Linked DNA regions of Caenorhabditis elegans. The protein of the gene in region 1 interacts with the protein of each later gene in a pairwise test. Each region holds a gene or a part of one and is shown on either strand. Other genes may lie near its edges. The genes, in order: C47D12.2, col-120, wts-1 and gdi-1.

Region 1 (5,325 bases):
ACATAATCTGGACTTGAGAAGAGTTGTTAGGATCGTGAAGAGTGCGACAGAATACGAAAATCACGCTGAAATTTCAACATTTTTCATCAGAAAGTCTTATTCAAACTTACTGTGTGATCATTTCATAGTCTATAGAATTTCGCATGTGATGCAACAGATCTGCTAGCATTTGATACATGAAAACTCGCAAATGCTCAATCGCAGTGAATCCTGTTCCCAGAACAACCTCCTCAGCGATGAGTCGAGGTAGCATTGGAAAGAATTTCGACTTCATTTCTCCAGATGTGAAATACTTCAAAGCCATCAGAACTTCTCGTCGGACACTTATCAGATCAGCCGGGCACCGCTCGAGCATCTGCATTGTTCCCGACACTAGAAGCGGTCCATTTTGCATGATAAGATCCATAAACTGAAAAATAAAAATCAGGATTACAGAAAAAAAACTTGAAAAAACGAAACTTACCGCTGGAATCTTAGCCATAATGTTGACGAATGACAGGAATCGGGACTGTGCACTGACAAAATCATCGGTTATTATTTGATTTGTTTTGAGTTTATCCTCGTCTGGAACTCTGACATTTAGAAAATCAAGACCAAGCCTCATGAAATCAAGCGCTTCGGTTTGGATCGCTGTTTTGAAATGTTGATAGAAGAAAATCACGAGATACGGAACCTCCAGGAGCACCTTCGTTGACTGATGAGCTGATGGAATCATATTGTATTTTAATGGCGGTTTTCCTTCCGTTCCGTTGAGAAGAACCGTTTGTTGATAGTAGCAAGTCTTCAAATATTCAGTGATGACTTGCTCGTCGGAGCTAGTTGACGGTGGAGCTTTATGCTCTTTTATGTTGAACATATCACCAGCTCGACCACTCGCCGTCAGATCAATGACCATTGTTTTGAAGGAGACCATTATCTGTGAAACCTCTCCGCAATATTGCATTTTGCCGGTACTTCTCCCTTGATCGGTGACAATTTTGATAGCCAAATTGGCATTCTCCTCATTTTCCACGGTGATTAGCCTCATCATCTGCTTGATAATTTCTTTGCTATGATGTTTCATGGCTTCTACGTTCGAAAGTCGAAGAATGATTTCAAGCATTAACTTTCGAAGCTGTTGTGTATTGTTTTCAGCAATGAACTGTGGACTTGTGTTGCAGAAAACTTGTAGGAACGAGAGAATGAGCCTCTCCACGACTTTCTCGTGCGAACTTAGTGTGAAATGATTTTCGATTGTGCTCCAAATCTCCTGCAACCGAACAAATTGATTACTTAACACGAATTATTGAAACTAACTTGTAACATTTTCAATTTGACATCATCTCTTTGTGAATTATCGGCAAGATTTTGAATTCTCGTTTCCAGCTCTGTTAGGTGATTACTCCGATCGGACTGCACAGACCGATAGCCTGGAGAAGCCATAGCCGGATCCATTTTGTATTAGTGACCAGCACTGAAGATACTTCTAAACTATTGAGCTTTGTGCAACTATTTGAATAATTTATCTGAAACAAGATTTACGTGTTTAATTCACTAAATTGCGAAGGAAACAGATTATAAAATGAAGAATGGAGTAGAATGAACTATTAGGAAGTGAATGCAACAAGAAAAATCAGTCAGAAAACGCTGAAATTATCGGAAAACTGACATTATTTCAGCAGAAACAAAGAAACAACTAAATTTCAAACGAGAGCGAATTGTCTGCTGACGCGTATGTGTGTGTGTTGGCGCACTCGCGGTTGTTGGCGCATTTCACGTGCATTGCCACGAACGAGAGAGGAGATTTTATTGAATAAAAAAGATGTGACCTGATTAATATTTGACCCTTTCTTGACTTTTTCTTTTATTTTTATGATTATTAACAGTGTAATAACAAATTTCAGACACATGGGATCAGTTATAACCAAGGAAACGGTCTTACAGGAGAATATTTATCTGAAGAAACTCAGCGGTTTGGAACCTGTCGACGATTATGACCCATTTTGGAACAAACTTCTCTCTTTCAGTCTCAAGTTTGATGATGACGACGAGTAAGGATTAAAATTAGGCAAAAGCTTTAAAAATGTTATAATCGTTTAGAGACACCCGAATCGCTTTGGAATCTGCTTTAGATGATCATCTTCAATGTCTAATGTACAATACACAAACAACAGGAAATTTCGCTGCATTTATTCGACTTTTCCTTCGCAGAGCCACAGAACTAAAAACATCAGAACAATGCGAAAAGTGAGTTGGAAAAAAAAATCATCATTATATTTAATTAAAGCTTTTTCTTATTTCAGTAAAATCTACTTATGGCAAACATCAAACGCTCTTCTCATTCTTCGTTACATCGCCAGATTTTTAACTCAACGTATGACGGAAAAAGAATTCGTGAGGATTTTCGCCAAAAGTCATGAGAGTACGGAAACCGAATCGTCGTCTACATCTTCCTCGTCGGATGAGGAAGATGATGACGAACAGAAATCAGAAAACGAAAATAATAATGGAGGTAAATAAGCTTCATTTAAAAAAAAAATTCAATAATAATCAAATTCTGACGTTTTCAGCGACAAAATATATCCCGATAGTTTTTCAAAACACTGCAGAAGAGTTCACGTATGAGCTGGTTTCGATTTTAATCAATATTTCTGTAAAGTGAGTTTTAAATTATTTTTTAAAAAATTGAATTAAAATAATTTCAGCGAAACAACATTGGCAATCCATGTCGAAGCAGTTCGATGTCTCCTAACTCTCCTGAGCTCTCAACTATATAATGAATCAATTGTGAATACTTCAATTGTCTTCAGATTCTTTATTGATGGATCATGTGCGAAACACGCAGCTTCGCTCACTAAAACTCTTCTTCTCAATTATTTGATCCACAATTCAGAGTATCACATGACTGTACAAAAGCCACAAGAGAGCATTGTTTTTGGATTAGCTTGTATGTCACTGAAAATCTTTTTTAATTCTTTATTAAATTAAAAAAAAAACACGATTTTTAAGCATCAATGTGGTCAATGGTCCAAATGGCAACTGGTATCGACTCCGCAGAGGAAGAAAAGAAGCCCCCACTTACTCTTGGAAACTTAAGCATCCTGCTTCTCCTCAATCTTTCATGCCATCAACCTCTCAATTCATCCAATCCATTCAAAGAAACCCTTGCTCTCTTCCAAAATGCTCAAGAAGTATCCACATTGCCTACTCAGATTGTGTCGTTCAAAATCGATTATAATGGATTATACGAAAGATTGTGTGCTACCGCTGGCCAGGAACCTCCGATGCTTCTACTCTACATGCTTCTACAGGCGAACTCGGGATTCCGGAACTATGTGTTGTCTCGGATCAACCTCGAGAATCTAGTTGTTCCTGTTCTTCGAATTCTTCACGACGGTGTCGCGACATCGAACAACTCTCACCATGTTTATCTTGCATTGATTGTCGCCTTGATTCTCAGTGAAGATGATATTTTCTGCAAGATTATACACGAGACGGTGAGTTTTCACTAGAAATGCTAAGATTATATTGAAGTATATATTTGCAGATGATCAAGGATCTCGGCTGGCTGGACAGTGATTTCAGTGTCCGCGAGATCTCTCTCGGAGGTTTGACAACTCTTGTGCTGGTTCGAGCAATTCAGAAGAATGCTTTGAAAACTAGAGTTAGTTGTTGCTACCAAGGGTGTCATTTTTCAATTTTTTTTTCGATTTTTTGACGTTTTTCAGTGGAAATCGAAAAATCGAAAAAAATGTTCAGAAAATTAACCATAAAATATGATTTTTTATCTAATTTTGTTTATATTGATAAGAACAAACATAAAAGTTTCATCTAAAAAGAAGAATAATGGCCAATATATCAAGCTCCTTTTTTAAAAATCGAAAAATCGAACAATTGAAAAAGCGAAAAACCGACAGTTGCTACCTGAAGATACAAAATTTTGTTTTTTTTTAAACCAAACTCAAATTTTTCCAGGACCGATATCTTCACACAAACTGCTTAGCTGCTCTTGCAAACATGTCAGCTTTCTTCAAAAATCTTGCTCCAATTGTTTGCCAAAGACTCATATCACTGCTTGATCTTCTAACAAAACGGCATGCTAAAATGGTGGATCATATGAGAGTCAGCAGTCAGAATGATGTTGCAGATGGACAGCCGATCAATTTCGTAAGTTCATATTTTGTTCAAAAATCCAAATAAAAAGTATAATATTTCAGCATGACGACATTACTGCTCTCGAAGAAGGAATTCGAACTCTCCTTGAGATCATCAACAGTGCACTTTGTGGAGGACTCCGTCACAATTCACACCTCATCTACAACCTTCTCTACCATCGTGCTCTATTCGATGCATACGTTCAGCACCCAATGTTCCAAGATCTTCTTGTTAACATCGCAGCAGTAATCTCTCACTTCTCGTCGAAAGTGATACATGTCCCAGCAGGCGATGGATCCACAATGCTGCAAATAATCGAGAAGGAGGCAAACATATGGCCAACCGATCGACTCGCAAAGTTCCCAGAATTGAAGTTCCGATACGTGGAGGATGAGTACACTGTCGATTTCTTTGTGCCATACGTCTGGAGGCTATCTGTTCAACATTCGGGAATCTACTTCGAAACATCAAGAATCAAAATATTTAACGCCCAAAGTATTGCTTGACCCTCAAATTGTTTTATTAATCGGTAAGCATAATGCCGGTAGTATTTATTCGGACGCAAATATTGATAAGTGGCCTTATTCATGTGATGATCATAAGATACCATAATAATGTACAATAAATCTATTATCTAATTGAGTTCAGAGTCCTTTGTTGTAGTACACCACTTTCGGGGGATTTGCCAACTTGTTGATATGATCTTGAAGTGAAAGCTCCAGCTTATCAACTTGAATTGAGCTTTTCTGTGGGAAAAGAGCACAACAAATTGGTGTGGAAAAAGCCAACATGAATCCACAGAGCAATGTTTGAAGAGGTGCAGCCATTCCAGGTGTATACCATGCAGTTTTGGAAAGTTGCTCCAAGATCACTGGTCCTAGAACCATATTTGGAACCGCCATTCCAACACGACTGAGCACAACTTGTGGAATAGCATGACCAGGTGCAACTGTTGAAAATCCCATTGTTCTACCTTCACCATCTTCAACTGGAATTCCATTTGTAAATTCTCTGAAACAAATAAATTATTAAAATGTCTTTTAATCTGATTCTCACTTGTTTCTCATCATAGGAATATTAATTGCATTGGCGAATGCAATAGCAGCAAATGGAACGAGACGAGCAAGAATCGGCGGAGCATTTTTCCACTTTTTGAGCATATAATTGAATGAAAGAGCACAAGAAAGAGCT
Region 2 (3,595 bases), on another chromosome or scaffold:
CCCTCCGTCGTCGTCTTCTCTTAATGCTCCAAGTCTTGCGGATGCTCCTGAAGTTAGATCCGATGATGGAGAAGCCGAAACTTCCGAACCATCGACTTCTGTCACAGCTGTACCAATGGAGATTGTGTCCCAAGCATCTACATCTGCTCCTGTTAACCAGTTGCTCGCGAGCGGAATTGATATGTCTAGCGTTATTAAAGTAAGTTTCCTCTATCCAAGATGTTATTTCATTTGATTGTTATTTCAGAACAACGCTGTTTTACAGGCACTTCTTGCCAGTGCCAGTGCCGGTGGATTCGGAGACAACGCAGGCCTCACCATGTCAAAATTATTGACCGCCGCTCTCGCCAATGGATCCACTGCGGTTGCTAAAAGAGATGCAGGTTCTCCACGTACTGATATCCCAAAGAAAACTCGTCTGAAAGTGTTTTCAAACGGATTTTTCATGACATTTGACAAGCTTTCATCATGTCAAAAGAAATATTTCTGGAGATGTGAATACAAGAACACTTGTAAAGCACGAATGCATACGGATATTGTTACTGAAAAGATCCTCACGTTTATCCATGAGCACAATCACAGTGCACCAATAGATGAAGAAGTTAGACTTTATGGATTGGACCCAACGAATATCGAAAGAAATCGTGTCTACATAGTTGGAAATGTTGCTGATCCAAATCAACGAAGAAAGATCCGAAAGCAAGTTGCGGATAGAGAAGCAGCTGCAAAGAGGCTCGTTCAACAGCAAGAAGAAGAACAACAGAAGCAACAAAGTGCATCATCAATTGTGGCGGCTCGAGCAGCTTATGCGCAAGCAATGCAGAATGGCTCAATACCCACATCTTCTGGGGTCGCGTCTTTTCTCCAGTCAACTTCGGCCACTGCTCCAATGACGTCTCATTCAATGCTCCTTGCGCAGATGCCATTTTTAAATAATATTAAAACGGAGATGTCAAATATGGTGAAAAACGAACAATTCACTCCTGAAAGATACACACAGCATATGTCTCCAAACTTGGTATGTCAACTTAGTGTTGAAAGTTTATTCTATAATAATTTTTAAGCCATTGCAGACCGCCACAATTGCTCCACTAATAATTCCAACAGAGAACTACGACTCACCTTCATATAGACAACCAGCAATCAAAAGAAAAGCTACTGATTTGACGAATGAAGAACATGATTTGAGAAGAGATCCGATGTTCCAGCCAACTTTCGAGCTTGCCAGAAAATTGAGAAAACTGTGGAAAGGAGAACCGAACAGATATCCAAGAACTACTACGACTCCGACTCATCATTTTGAATTCTTCCTTTCTAAAAATGATGGAACAGATGAGCATCTCTATGTTCCAATGAGAATCAATCTCCGTGATGAAGCACACTTAAAAGAGGCACTTCAAGACTTCTGTGGTCAACAATGTATCGGAATGCTTCTTTTCGGAATTTCACCAAAGATCAGTGTAATGTTCAATCAACCCATGTTGAATAATTGGGACAATAATCAATTCTTCCTGCTCGACATTTCAAATCCAAGCCGTTGGCGACTGATGTATGTGGATGATCAAGCTGTGTAATTTAACCGAATACTGATTGTTTTTTATATGTGTAAAATGTAAAATTTCCTCCACTCTCCACCTATCTCATTAAATATTTTCTGTGACATTTCTCCATCGAAACTGGTTTTTACCCAATGTAAACCTCATCCTAAGTCTACGATTCAATCTAAATCACATCTACCTCCCTTTTCCAGATGTTTTTTGAACCATTCCACTAATAATGTGTAATGTTATCTTTGACTTGCTATCAATTATCCTTATTTTTTAACGTGTTCTATCCGTTGTAGGATTGTAATAAAACAGTAAAGTGATAAGCGTGAATGATATAAAACACAGTTGAAAATGATTAGGTGATTGGAAGAAGAAATGAATTTGAAGAAGAATTTAGTGAATTCTGAAGAGGATGAACTTCGAAAAGTTGCTTTCGTGGCGACTGTTGTCAGGTATGTTCCGATTTCCACGTGGCAGAATAGTACAAGCTGGAAATTTTCAGTGCTGCTTCTGGAATCATGTGCATTATTCTAATTCCTGGGCTTTACACATATCTACAATATATTCAAAGCTCTGTTCAAACTGATGCAAGTGATTTCTATTCACATTTTGGTATTTATTCTGCATTTTTAGGTTGGATTTTGTGTTGACGGGGCTAAGAATCTGGAAAATATGTATGAATCAACGAAGGCTGTTGGTTCAGGGCCAGTAAAAAGACAAGCTGGATATGGAGGTAACTTGTAACTTTTGTGGGACTTTTTGAAACTAATTCAATATTAGCTTCTTCCCCCTCTCGAGCTTCTGGAAGTCATCCAGCTCCATCTCCATACGACGCTGCATCCACTTCTTCTTCATCTTCTTCCGATTCTTGTTGCAGCTGTGGAATTGGTCTTGCTGGGCCAGCAGGTTTCCCAGGTCGACCAGGACGAGATGGAATAGATGGACCAGCCGGAAAACCTGGACGAGATGGGCAAGATTTGGATGGAGAATCGTCTTCTGATGGATCACAAATTGAGCTTGATTGCCCAGCAGGACCACCAGGGCCACCAGGAAATCCAGGTCCTCAGGGTAATTCTGGGCGACCTGGAATGGATGGTATGCCTGGTAGAAATGGAAGATGCGGGAGACCAGGAGAGCAGGGAGAACGTGGACCAAATGGAGAAGATGGACGACCTGGAAGACGTGGAGACGATGGAATGCCCGGAACAGTTAACGAAATTCCAGGCCAAGCAGGTCCACCAGGTCTTCGTGGTGCTCCTGGAGCTACTGGATCGCAAGGACCACGTGGAAATGATGGTAGACCAGGAAACAAGGGACCAGCAGGACCACCTGGAGACCAAGGATTTGATGGAGCACCAGGAGGACCTGGAGCTGATGGAGAACCTGGAGCACAAGGACCTTTGGGAGCAAAGGGAGAATGTTCACACTGCCCACCTCCACGAACTGCTCCTGGATACTAATTTTTATCTGTTTTGTTGATTAGATTTAGTTTCTGTAAATAATGAACACTTTTAGCACTATTTACTTAAATTATTCAAAAAGTACAGTGACCTATCTGCGAAACACAACGCAAGACGAAGAGACACAGACATAAAAAACTACAATACTCCGTTCTGACGCTGCTCGTATTTTATTTTTTGCGTCTTATTTTTTTTAATTTTTGCACGTTTTGTTTAAAATTTACTTTAAATTTTTATTTAATGAATTCCCGACCTTAATTTTTGTAAAAATCGGTTTGCATTACACATTTTGTTAATATAAACTGTTAAAAATCAACTATCATCGCCCATACTTCTCCGAAATGAGCCAAAATTGAAATTTACGTCATGTTCTTCAACATTTAAAATCATTAGAAACGTTTGTTGATTTGAAATTAAAGTATAGCAATTTATTTGAAAACTCTCGTTTTCATGATATATGTACTGACAAATCTAAGGTAAATAATCAATTTCTAAGTTTAAAAGAGATCAAATTGTTTTCAGTTTAAGCATATTTAAATCTAAATCTTATCGGATTTCATTGTTTCTAGTTTTTATCGTACTGAATTC
Region 3 (7,625 bases), on another chromosome or scaffold:
AAACGATACTATATTTTCAGATAAACGGCAGAAAATTACTAACCAACAAGCTTTCCTTTGGTGAGACTCAGCTGGGCGGATAGTTGTCGAACTTCTTCGTTTGTCTGGGATAAAACTTCTCCTTGAGCTTGATATACGTAGAATGCGTAAAAGAATAATACCTGCAAAAAGTGTATAATTTCATTGACTTCTTGTTAATTATATTACCAGGCAAATAAGAAATACAAAAAGGGGCCAATTCCTCATTGTAGTAGGACGATCCGAGTGTGAACTGCTCCTGAAAGAAAAAAAATTGAATATTTATTTAAACGTTGTCCTTCTATGTATCTATATGTTTGTTTAATGGTTACAAAAAAGGGAAAAGCCACGCGACATCTGCGGCGCACCGTTTCGTTTTTATGCAAACGGAAGACTGCGTGGATGTCATAGATACAAAAAGGAAAGAGACATCGATTTTTGATAGGCTGACGAATGCAAAAAAACGGAGATTAAAGGGGATTTGTAGTAGAATTAGAGGAAATGCATAGTTGTTTGATTTAAAAAATCATCAAAATTCATAAAAACACAGAAAACTGAGTCAATACAAGAAAATTCGAGTATCAAGCTTATGTCTACTGTTATTTTTTCAAAACTGCATTTTAAATAAGAAAAACTACAGAGTTGTGACTCTTTCAGTAGTAATATATAGAGTTATCATTCCAGTGAAAAAATTACAACTCCAATTTCCAGTTTTAACCTAAAATCACTTGAGTACGTATTTCTAATTCAATTACAAAAGCTGATGATGTACTATAGCACTTACTGGGTCTTATGCAAAATTACAGAAACAATTTGAAAACTTGGTTGAGAATTTAAGCCAGAGTAATTTTTTTGTCGGAAAATTCCAATATTCAGTATTTAAAATATAGATGTTGAAGGTAATATATATTCTCAAAAGTACGCAGGCACAGTCGACAGTAACAGGGGCGCCTGGAGTGCCTCTCCACTACCGGCGAGGGCAAGGAGCACCCCTTTTCTACAGATGTTAAAAATTTGTTTTAAATTCAGTAAAGCTGGTGAATTTTACAAATTGTGCACATTTTTGAATCCGGAAAATTTTCAACACTTCGAAGTTGTTCTCAAAATCGGCTTTCAATTCAAATTTTAAACAGGAAAACATCTTTAAAAATATTTGTTCAAACACAGAGTTTTATAAAAAGCTTCTAAAAACTTACCGTATGAGAGGCTTTCTGCTGGATGACATGACGGGGGGATACCGGCAAGTATGTCTTTTCGACGGGCGATGATGGCCGCTGATGATACGGCGAGAGGTTCCGAGACACAGGCGTCCTAAATGTGTTGGAAACTAAACGGCAGAAAATGAGCACTAGAAGGTTGGAGAGTCGGGGAGAGATGTTAGAGTGACGAGGGATGAGGAATGTTGGAAGAGACAACACGAGAGAATAAGACAAAGAGAGATGTCCTGCAAAAGAGAGTAAAGACTTTTCTCCTCTTCCTGCGGGAGTCAGAGAGAGAGCGGCGGGAAGCAAAGAGACCACATAACGATAAGAGACACAGAAAGTTTTGTATCACTGTCTCTCTCATCATTTCATTCTATCTCTTCACCTTCTTCTTCTTCTACTTCAATCCATTCCCATCGCCTTCTCCGTGTGTGTGTTTGTCAGTGTTCGGCAGGAGGCCCTCCTTTGCATTGTATTCCCCTGGAATGCGACCTGCTGCCCCTGGTACTACTCCAAATGGTGCATCTTCTGATATCAGACATCAACGTGGAGTTGCTCCGATCCCATTTGGCTCTACTAATTCAGCGATAGATGCCCATCACAATTCAGTAGGTTTTGGTTTGGAAAAGTGATTGGGTTATTGATTCAGATCTTGATCTGTTTGGCTTGATCACTCCCTAGATTTTCAGCTGAACCATGTGTCATTTGAAAGAGGACCTTTAAACTAGATCGTTGTAAATTTTAAGCGGCAAAGTGTCACGATCTGAAACTTTTTAGTGCTCTTTTCACAACTTTCGAGAGCTGTAGACTTGCTCCAAAAGCTATTTTTTGCAGACATGTTGTTTTTCAGTGATTAAGAGCAATTGAAAATTCTAGGAGTTTTAATAAAATTTTTAAAAATGTTCTCCCCCTAATCAACTCGATCAAAATGCTTTCAGATTTCCGTTTAAAAAATTATTTAACTTAAAAATTACCTCTAGCATTTTCGGACCAATTTTTTCTAGTTCAAAATGCTCTTCTGTTGCTAAATTTTTTGTGGGGTCCTATTCAAAAGGTCTTCTTTTAAATTATATTGGCTTTGCTATTGTTTGTAAATACATCTATAATCGCAAATCATTTTTTTTTGCAGTTCCATGTTTTTTTTTCCTGATTTGAATTTCAAAATCTGTTCAAGATTCGTAGAACTCATTAAAATTTAAAAAAAAATCCTCAAAATTACTTCACCCTTTCTTATTCAACACTTTGGCGTTCCGAGACAATGCGGGGCTTTCATGGCAGACGTTATCACTTGGAATGGCGGTTTTGATAAGAAAATGAAATCACCTAAAATTCCATTTAGAAGCATCACCTTTTAATAGTTTCGTAATCAATGAATCAGTATTTTTCATATGAAAAATATATAAATTGCTCAGAAAAATGTACAATTTCAGTGTTGAAACATTGAAAACTTCCATAGAAACGCAAAGTTTTTTGCTTTAAAGAAATCCTTTTTTTACAAAAATTCTAAAAAATTCGCATCTGGGCAGTGGTACCATAATTTGGCATAACTAATTAAACCAATTGTTTTTCCAGGAAATCCGCGTGGGGCGTCATCGTGCAAAACTCGACGAAATTCGCGAATCGCTGAAAGCTTACGAACATGAAGCCGGTTTATTATCAAGTCACGTGGCTCTTGGATCACTTGCAACACCGTCAAGTTCTTCCGTCAGCCATTCTGACATCACCAATGACAATGCGGAAGTGATGAATTTTTCGTCTTCTTCTTCAAATGCAGCAGCGACGACGACGACAGTCTCGAGCGCTGCTGTATCAAATTCGAATTCTTTTAGAGTGAGTCACATTTCTTTTTTTTTAATCAAAAATGGTCCTGGAAATCGAATGGAAAAACATTTTGAGAGTAAAAAATAAAATTCGATTGGCTGGGAAAATTGTCCGTCAAATTTTCCGTCTAGGTCAGTTCGTATGCCCAAAAAAAACATAACTTTTTTGAAATTTATACATAGACCGGCCGAAAGCGTCATATTTTTCTTCGAAAAAAAAAAGAATGGAATTGTAGCAAACTAGCTAGAAATTCTATTGAATAAAAAATTATGAAATAGGTGGCTCAGCTCAACTTTGGGATTTTATGAAAATTGTCAACTATGAATCGATTTATGATCTTCAAAAGTGGTGAAGGGTGGTGGTTCAAAAGTGAAAAAATCATATTTTCAGACAGAAGGTGGTGGTCACAAGATGCGGATAACACCAATGCCACAAAGACATTTAATGATGGATACTGGTGCCAATGAGACAGTATTTCGAAGTGGAAAAGAGATGATTCGAAATGGAAATCCATCAACAACTATATCATCAACACCTTCTACAACAACTGAAGAGTCGATTAGGATACATCCTGCTGGATATCGATATGATATGCCAACTCCTGCATATCATATGAATAACAATGCACCACAATACTCACCAGGATATGTAAGTTGTTCTCGAAAAAATATAATACTAAAGAATCGGAAAGTACTTTTTCTGAGAAGTCCCACTTAAAATTTTGTTTTAAAAAAATTGGTTTGCGGTGGTTCAGTTTTGAAAAAAGTCCAAATTGTCAATGCGATTATCACTTTTCATATTTTGGTCGTTCGTTCCATGTTTTTCTGTTGATTTGGCTACATTTTCGGTCACATATTTGATAATATTTAGTGCACCCGTAAACTGAAAAGGCACTTTAATCAACGGCGAGACACGTGTGAACAACTAAAATTAGTAACAAAATATACTTCCAAATTGACAAAGTTTGAAAGTTTAAGCTGAAAAGAAAATGGACCAAAACTTTCTTTGAAAAATACTCCTAGTTCAAGCAATAGGGGGACCTTCTTGTGACCTGTTCATAACTTCTGAAATTTTTTTTGTAAAATAAATTAAAGAGTCCAATAAAGTACACACAAACACCCCTAGTAGGCAGACCTGACACTTTAATAAATGAAAATTTTCAGTCTCGACCACCTCCACCAGCCTACGATTCATCTCCGGTGAACACTAGAATGACTCCAGTTGCAACAGACAACTACCGTACTCACCTGCATATGAAAGTTCATCCTGTTGTAAAAGCGCCACCACCGAATCCAACAATGCTCAATCACAACAAGAATATGGCACCCCCACCGCCTCCTCCAGCAAAATCTACGATTTCCATCGAGACAATGTAAGTTTTCTAAACGATATCAGAAGGATTCTATAAATCTTTTGCTTTAACTTTTCAGGAGTGAAGAACGAAAAGCAGATAATATCCAGAGACTTTATCATACATCAATGGACAAAAAAACAGCTAGTAGTGTTGTTAGTATCAATGTTGCTTCTCCTCATACGGTATTTTATGACCTCAAATGATATTAAAATTCATTTTTAATTTCAGACAAAAGTAAATGTTGGTGATAGTCCTCTTCCAAGCAAATCATTCATTATTGGTCCACGGTATACAGCTGATGTCGATAGGAAGAATTTTGTCAACTATAAAGATGAGGTAAATTTGAGAAAAATTCAACTCCTACCTTCTGAAATATTTAACTGATATTTCTAGAGTCATTTTTTTGACAGAGCTCATAAAATATAAGAGACTAAAAGTTTTGTCTTCGCAGACACCCATAATCAGCAAAAATTTGCAAAACTACTTTAGAATCGGTTTCGAGAGCCCAGTTGAATTTTATGAATAGAACAATAATTGTTATAAAGTTCGGGGATAAACCCTAAAAATAAAATGATTTCAGCTGCGTCCCGACCCTCGCCTGATTCCATCCACTTCCGATGCAAATCATGAAGATTTCCGGCCGATCCTTTTCAAACCAAGAAATCTCGAAATCACAATGAAATCACGTGCTCAACCTCCTCCTCCTCAATACAATCAACCCAGTGAGCCACCTCCGAAACGAGTCAGCTCCCCAATTGATCGAACACTTTTGGAACCATACATCAAGAATACACGAAGAGTTCAACCATGTAAACCAAATATGCTTCGATTTTATATGGAACAACATGTTGAACGACTTCTACAGCAATATAAAGAACGAGAAAAACGAATGAAACAGTTGGAAAAGGAGATGGTTTCAGCTCAATTACCGGATATTATGAGGAATAAAATGCTGGGATTACTTCAACAAAAAGAGTCAAAATATACGAGATTAAGAAGACAAAAGATGAGTAAAAGCCATTTCACTGTCATCTCACATATTGGTGTTGGAGCATTTGGAAAAGTTTCATTGGTTCGAAAAAATGATACTCGGAAGGTTTATGCAATGAAAAGTTTGGAAAAAGCGGATGTCATAATGAAACAACAGGTAGGATTTGTTATTTGTTTAGGATCTTGGTTTAAAAATTTGAAAATATTGGTGTCCTACGTTTGAAATAAAACCTTGAATAGAAAGTAAGAAAACTGCAAAGTCTAACATTTTTGATACTCTAGGTTTTTTTTTTTTAATTTAATTGATTCTATATTTGCTACTAGTAGGAAAATATATCAGATATATTGTGAGTCTAGTAGTTTTTAAAATGTGACTGTAAAGCGATATGATCGAAAAATAATTTCAAAACTTTTTGACTAAAAACACCATTTTCTTTCAGGCCGCCCATGTGAAAGCCGAACGCGATATTCTGGCAGAAGCTGATTCTCCTTGGATTGTTCGTCTTTTCTTCTCATTTCAAGATGATGCTTGTCTATACTTCATAATGGAATATGTTCCCGGAGGAGATATGATGACTTTATTGATTCAAAAAGGAATATTTGAAGAAGATCTCGCTAGATTCTACATTGCTGAACTGGCATGTGCAATTGAATATGTTCATAATGTTGGATTTATTCATAGAGATTTGAAACCGGATAATATTCTAATTGATCAACATGGACATATTAAGTTGACTGATTTTGGATTGTGCACTGGTTTGAGGTGGACTCATGACAGAAGGTAAGATTATGTATTGTTTATTTGTCACGAGAAAGAGAGGGTGTCTAATGGAATAGAGCCTAGGCGCGACGCAAATGATTAATTGTAGTTGGTGTGCTCAACATCTGTGCAAAAAATATTTAAGTCACACATGAAACCATCCAATATTTTCTAGATACTATGGACCTGAAAACGACCATCATCGTGTCGATTCATTCTCGCTTCCTCCTGAAGTTGCAGCTATTGATAAAAGCGTTAAAGTTCTAAATGTTCGACAACAAACCCGCCGGATAACCGCCCATTCTCTTGTTGGAACAGGAAATTACATGGCACCCGAAGTAATTGCCAAAACCGGGCACAATCAGAGTTGTGATTGGTGGTCGACTGGAGTGATTTTGTATGAGATGGTATTTGGAAGAGTGCCATTTCATGATGATACACCTGGTGGAACACAACATCGAATTAAGAATTGGAGAAACTTCCTTGATTTTACATATTGTGGAAATCTATCAAAAGAGTGCCTTATGATGATTCAAGTAAGTTTTTTTGTTTAAATAGACGTTGTGAAGACCAAAACTTTTTCAGCAACTAATTTGTGACGCGTCGTCAAGATTGGGATCTCACGGGAAGGATGTTGCCGAACGAACGGCACAAGTCAAAAATCATCCATGGTTCAGGGGAATTGACTGGGTTAACTTGAGAAAACTGAGAGCTGATTATATTTATATTCCTCGGGTCACTCACGATGAAGACACTTCTAATTTTGAAACGTTTCAAGTGAGTTTTTCCTTTTAAACTTTGTTTAGAGTGTCTAAAAAAGTTAGATATAATTTTATGTATGTAGACATAAAAAAGATAGCATCAAAATTATGAATATTTGAGTTTGAAATACAGAATTTTTATTTGAATTAAAGTAAATTAATTGTGGAGTTTCTGAAACTATTATACATAGCAGCTCCAATAAAAACATAATTGAGTTTCACTACTCAAATTTTTAACTTAAATTTGGAATCTTGAAAAGTTTTCTTTCAAAACCTATCACACTTCTAATTCCAAATTTCCAGGACAATGACCGTGCTGACAAGCCGAATGTGCGAGGTCTTCATAATCCAGCCTTCTATGAATTCACTTATCGTCATTTCTTTGATACGGATTCTGTTGGTTGCCCATCACTTCGACCATCTCGTCGTCGGTCACTTCGGCCATTACTTGAAAACGGAACTTTTAATGAGTCAGTGTCGGAAGAAGATTCATCGTCTCATATTTAAAAGAGCATGAATTTGTTTATTGATTATATTATATATGATTTTAATGTGATGTTTTAGTATCATTTTTTACTCATTTTGCTTCTATTTTTATCTTTAATTTTCCAAATTACCCTCTTTACTAATTCTGTGATGATCTCGATACGGTTTTCAGAATTCGAGATATTTTTAATATCTCTTTTCTTTTCTCTTTTTCTCTCATGTCGCCACACTAT
Region 4 (4,147 bases), on another chromosome or scaffold:
CTTCACAGTTGACTTGAAATTGAGTCTTCTCGACGAATTTCCTTTCTTTTTTGTTGAAAAAAGTGTTGATCCAACCCAATTCAATTCGATTTCCGGTGCCCCCTTGGAATAATTTTGGATACAAAGCTTTCAACTCTTCTGTTCTGTTCTCTATTTCCCTATTTTGCTCGCCGTCTTCTCCTCCTCCACCCGTCCGGCTTCTCCTCTTCTTGGACATTTTATCGATTTTGTTCTTCTTCGGTGTTGTGTCTCTCTCTCTCTCCCCCCCCCCTTTTCGATGTGTGGGCCAACACAACAATCCCCACATTTCTGCGTCTCGTGTTCTCACCCTCATCCGGTTGTGTCTGCGTCTATGGCTTGTAGGTTCTCGAACTTTCAGTTCTAGATGTCCTAGACTTCAATTTTGAAGGTCTCAACTGGATATTATTACAGTTCGGAAGTCTTGAATAATACTAGATCCAACCCAGATGTCCTCAGATGTTATTTGATCTCTCCAGTCTCTCGCCGTCGCTCCCTTCTCTCAGTCCATTTTGGACGCTCATTTCGACCGCCATCCCGTTTGGGGTTAACCGCGGAGAGAGTGAGTGAGAAAGGGAATGAGCGCTCAAATTCACTCTCACTCACACTCACACGCAGCAGCATCATCTCGTAGACCCTCTCTGGTTGTTGCTGTCTCTGATGACAAACATTCCCTAACTGGGCGCCCCTGTGTTCGTCGTTGCCACGTGTCATTCTATGTCGGCGATTCGGCCATTTGAAGCTCGATCCACGTGTCGCTAGGACAGCTGACGTCATCTTTTCAACTATTATGTTTACTGCGATTATACGAATCAATTGGTGAAATTATTTAGAATAACCTATTTTTTGAGTTGTTTACGATTTTGAAGTCACTTGACTGAAAACTTTCACAGAAAAGGTCTTAAATGAAATGAAACTCTTGCGTAGACTTGATGAAGTTCTGTGAAACTCCTACGTACTCTTGAATAGTAATCGAAAATTATTGATTTCTACTTCCAATCTACTCAAAAGTTAAAAAATATTTCGCAACACATCTTTTCCCCATTCTTTTCTGTATTTTTTAGCAATTTACCTTAAAATCTTCAATAATTCCAGCCTACGATGCAGTCGTCGCTTCGGAAATTGTCGAACACGTCGCCGATCTTCCCGGATTCATTGGCTGCCTCGCTGAGCTGGCTCGCCCCGGTGCCCCGCTCTTCATCACAACTATCAACAGAACGTGGCTGAGCAAATTGGCAGCTATTTGGCTTGCAGAGGTTTGATTTTTTTCTTTCTTTTTTTTTTGGAAATAAATTTGAAAATTTTCAGAATGTACTCAAAATCGTGCCGCCCGGAGTCCACGACTGGGAAAAATTCATCACACCCGCCGAGCTCACTTCACATCTCGAAAAAGCGGGTTGCCGGGTGACGGCGGTGCATGGATTAATGTTTCATCCGGTTGGAAATCACTGGACATGGATCGAATCGACTCAGTGTAATTACGGAATTTTGGCAGTGAAGAATTAGATTTGAAGATTTTTTGTTTAGTGTTGCTAGTTTTTTTTTCATGTTTCCATATGTTACTGGTGCTATTTTTTTTAATTTTCAAAAAAAAAAATAATTTGAGACCTAACTCTTTTAAATGTCAAACAATTGGGTTTGATCTACCCGCAAAATATCTGATTTTCAACAACTTTATTCTCTGCGTCTCTCCCTCCCTCCCTCTCACTCTCTTTCTTCAGTTTTTATAATTATTTTCTTGAATTCTAAAATTTCCTTTTTGAAATTCAACTTTTCTTTCAGTTTCTCTTTCCCCGCAATTTTCCAAATCACAATCCGATCAATTTTCAGGAGTTCCAACCAATTCCCCGAAAAACTCGCTCGAAATGGATGAGGAATACGATGCCATCGTTCTCGGAACCGGCCTCAAGGAGTGCATCATCTCGGGAATGCTGTCGGTTTCCGGAAAGAAGGTTCTCCACATTGACCGAAACAACTATTATGGAGGAGAGTCAGCTTCACTGACTCCACTTGAGCAACTCTACGAGAAATTCCACGGTCCACAAGCCAAGCCACAACAGGAGATGGGACGTGGACGTGACTGGAACGTCGACTTGATTCCAAAGTTTTTGATGGCCAACGGGCCATTGGTCAAGCTTCTCATCCATACTGGAGTCACTCGCTACTTGGAATTCAAGTCGATTGAGGCCTCGTTCGTTGTGAAGGGTGGAAAGATCTACAAGGTGCCGGCCGATGAGATGGAGGCTCTTGCCACTTCCCTTATGGGAATGTTCGAGAAACGTCGCTTCAAGAAGTTCCTCGTCTGGGTGCAACAATTCGATGAGAACAAGGAGGACACTTGGCAAGGACTTGACCCACACAACAGCACAATGCAGCAGGTTTACGAGAAGTTTGGCCTTGACGAGAACACCGCCGATTTCACCGGACACGCGCTGGCCCTCTACCGTGACGATGAGCACAAGAATCAACCATACGCTCCAGCTGTTGAGAAGATCCGATTGTACTCTGACTCATTGGCTCGTTATGGAAAGTCACCATACTTGTACCCATTGTACGGATTGGGAGAACTTCCACAGGGATTCGCTCGTCTCTCGGCCATCTACGGAGGAACCTACATGCTCGACAAGCCAGTCGACGAGATTGTGATGGAGAATGGAAAGGCTATTGGAGTCAAGTGTGGAGATGAGATTGTCCGTGGAAAGCAGATCTACTGCGATCCCTCATACGCCAAGGATCGTGTCAAGAAGACTGGACAAGTTGTCCGAGCCATTTGTTTGTTGAACCATCCAATTCCAAATACAAATGATGCTCAATCCTGCCAGATTATCATTCCACAAAAGCAAGTTGGAAGACATTATGGTAAATTTATAGTCTTGGAAAAGCAGCGCGTCGCACAGAAAAGAGGTAGGGCGTAATTTTGCAATCTTGCGGCACGGGTTTTTCCTACTTTTTTTGTTAATGTTTGAATGAAAATATTATCGAATTTAATTATCCGAAGACTAAAATAGTCTCACGATCCTATGAGAATTAGGTAAAATTGAAACTTTATTGAAAAATAAATTAAAAGGAGGAAAAACCGAGCCGCCGGTTTGCCAATTTACTCTCCGCCTCTTTTTCTGTGCGACTCGCTGCTTTTTGCAAAACTCACGCTTTCAGCATCACTAATTCCCTTTTTTTCAGACATCTACATCTCATGCTGCTCCAACACGAACATGGTGACACCAAAGGGATGGTATTTGGCAATGGTCTCCACCACTGTCGAGACAGCCAATCCAGAGGCTGAAGTTCTTCCAGGACTTCAACTTCTTGGCGCAATTGCCGAGAAGTTCATTCAGATTTCCGATGTTTATGAGCCATCTGACTTGGGATCTGAGTCACAGATCTTCATCTCTCAATCTTATGATGCTACGACTCACTTTGAAACCACTTGCAAGGTAATTTAAAGAATTTAAAACAATTTTTGAAAGAAATTATAATTATTCATTTTTCAGGACGTGCTCAACATGTTCGAACGTGGAACGACCAAAGAATTCGACTTCACCAACATCACTCACTTGTCGTTGAATGATCAGGAATAATTGAATATCCATTCCCTTCTTTTGAGTACTCTGATTTGACGCTTCTGATGCTGCTTTTGCTCTTTTTTGTCGCCTCTATAAAAAAAACGATTCCCGTTCCGTTTGTTTCTCCTGTCCAATGTTCATTTTCAACCGATTTTAATTTATTGTATTTTCTCTTTTCCAGTCTCTATCCTCATGTGATTCCCCGAGAACCCTTTTTTTAAATTTCAATTTTCGTCCCGAAAACAAAATTTCTTCCCACTATTTCCTTTGTATTTAACTTTACAATTCCCAAACAAAGTCCGCTTCGTAAATCTATAAATCACTTTATCCTTTTGAAGTACTTCATTACAGAAATACAATTATTATCACGATCAGAAAGTTTGGATAGGATGGGATTACATTTGATGAAGGGAGATCATTTCCATTTGAAAATTGGAGAAGAATAAGCATATATGTTTTTACATAATTGATTAAAGAAAAAATCCCAGTTTAAGCCATCACAAGCAGAGCATCGAGCTGATCATCGACACGTTGCATCATCTTTTTGTACAAATCCTCCATATTCT

Evidence for each region.
Region 2: the proteins of C47D12.2 (region 1) and col-120 interact in a two-hybrid assay, tested with the Caenorhabditis elegans proteins (one large-scale study listed by BioGRID).
Region 3: the proteins of C47D12.2 (region 1) and wts-1 interact in a two-hybrid assay, tested with the Caenorhabditis elegans proteins (one large-scale study listed by BioGRID).
Region 4: the proteins of C47D12.2 (region 1) and gdi-1 interact in a two-hybrid assay, tested with the Caenorhabditis elegans proteins (one large-scale study listed by BioGRID).

The regions. Positions count from the first base shown.
Region 1 is NC_003280.10:11,674,423-11,679,747, forward strand, and holds C47D12.2 (Dymeclin), read left to right. Parts: upstream 1-1,883; 5' UTR 1,884-1,887; coding exon 1,888-2,030; intron 2,031-2,079; coding exon 2,080-2,226; intron 2,227-2,282; coding exon 2,283-2,491; intron 2,492-2,549; coding exon 2,550-2,637; intron 2,638-2,684; coding exon 2,685-2,926; intron 2,927-2,988; coding exon 2,989-3,476; intron 3,477-3,526; coding exon 3,527-3,643; intron 3,644-3,954; coding exon 3,955-4,146; intron 4,147-4,196; coding exon 4,197-4,640; 3' UTR 4,641-4,775; downstream 4,776-5,325. Other genes in the region: trr-1 (Transcription-associated protein 1), read right to left, coding at 1-65, 111-409, 464-1,249, 1,297-1,434; sfxn-1.4 (Sidoreflexin), read right to left, coding at 4,779-5,145, 5,191-5,325.
Region 2 is NC_003282.8:9,260,081-9,263,675, reverse strand, and holds col-120 (Nematode cuticle collagen N-terminal domain-containing protein), read left to right. Parts: upstream 1-1,888; 5' UTR 1,889-1,922; coding exon 1,923-1,999; intron 2,000-2,049; coding exon 2,050-2,134; intron 2,135-2,180; coding exon 2,181-2,280; intron 2,281-2,327; coding exon 2,328-3,007; 3' UTR 3,008-3,066; downstream 3,067-3,595. Other genes in the region: flh-1 (FLYWCH transcription factor 1), read left to right, coding at 1-199, 248-1,018, 1,065-1,574.
Region 3 is NC_003279.8:10,291,927-10,299,551, reverse strand, and holds the start of wts-1 (Serine/threonine-protein kinase WARTS homolog), read left to right. Parts: upstream 1-1,624; 5' UTR 1,625-1,705; coding exon 1,706-1,828; intron 1,829-2,792; coding exon 2,793-3,050; intron 3,051-3,431; coding exon 3,432-3,689; intron 3,690-4,204; coding exon 4,205-4,413; intron 4,414-4,471; coding exon 4,472-4,577; intron 4,578-4,623; coding exon 4,624-4,731; intron 4,732-4,975; coding exon 4,976-5,542; intron 5,543-5,825; coding exon 5,826-6,166; intron 6,167-6,320; coding exon 6,321-6,681; intron 6,682-6,730; coding exon 6,731-6,922; intron 6,923-7,209; coding exon 7,210-7,413; 3' UTR 7,414-7,473; coding exon of another isoform or gene 7,474-7,625. Other genes in the region: T20F10.2 (Si:ch211-1a19.3), read right to left, coding at 44-161, 208-277, 1,215-1,243. UniProt on the Caenorhabditis elegans protein: Phosphorylates yap-1 which may negatively regulate yap-1 nuclear localization. Plays an essential role in larval development.
Region 4 is NC_003282.8:14,790,587-14,794,733, reverse strand, and holds gdi-1 (Rab GDP dissociation inhibitor), read left to right. Parts: upstream 1-1,883; coding exon 1,884-2,922; intron 2,923-3,198; coding exon 3,199-3,452; intron 3,453-3,509; coding exon 3,510-3,596; downstream 3,597-4,147. Other genes in the region: coq-3 (Ubiquinone biosynthesis O-methyltransferase, mitochondrial), read left to right, coding at 1,114-1,274, 1,327-1,524; melo-1 (RRM domain-containing protein), read right to left, coding at 4,071-4,147.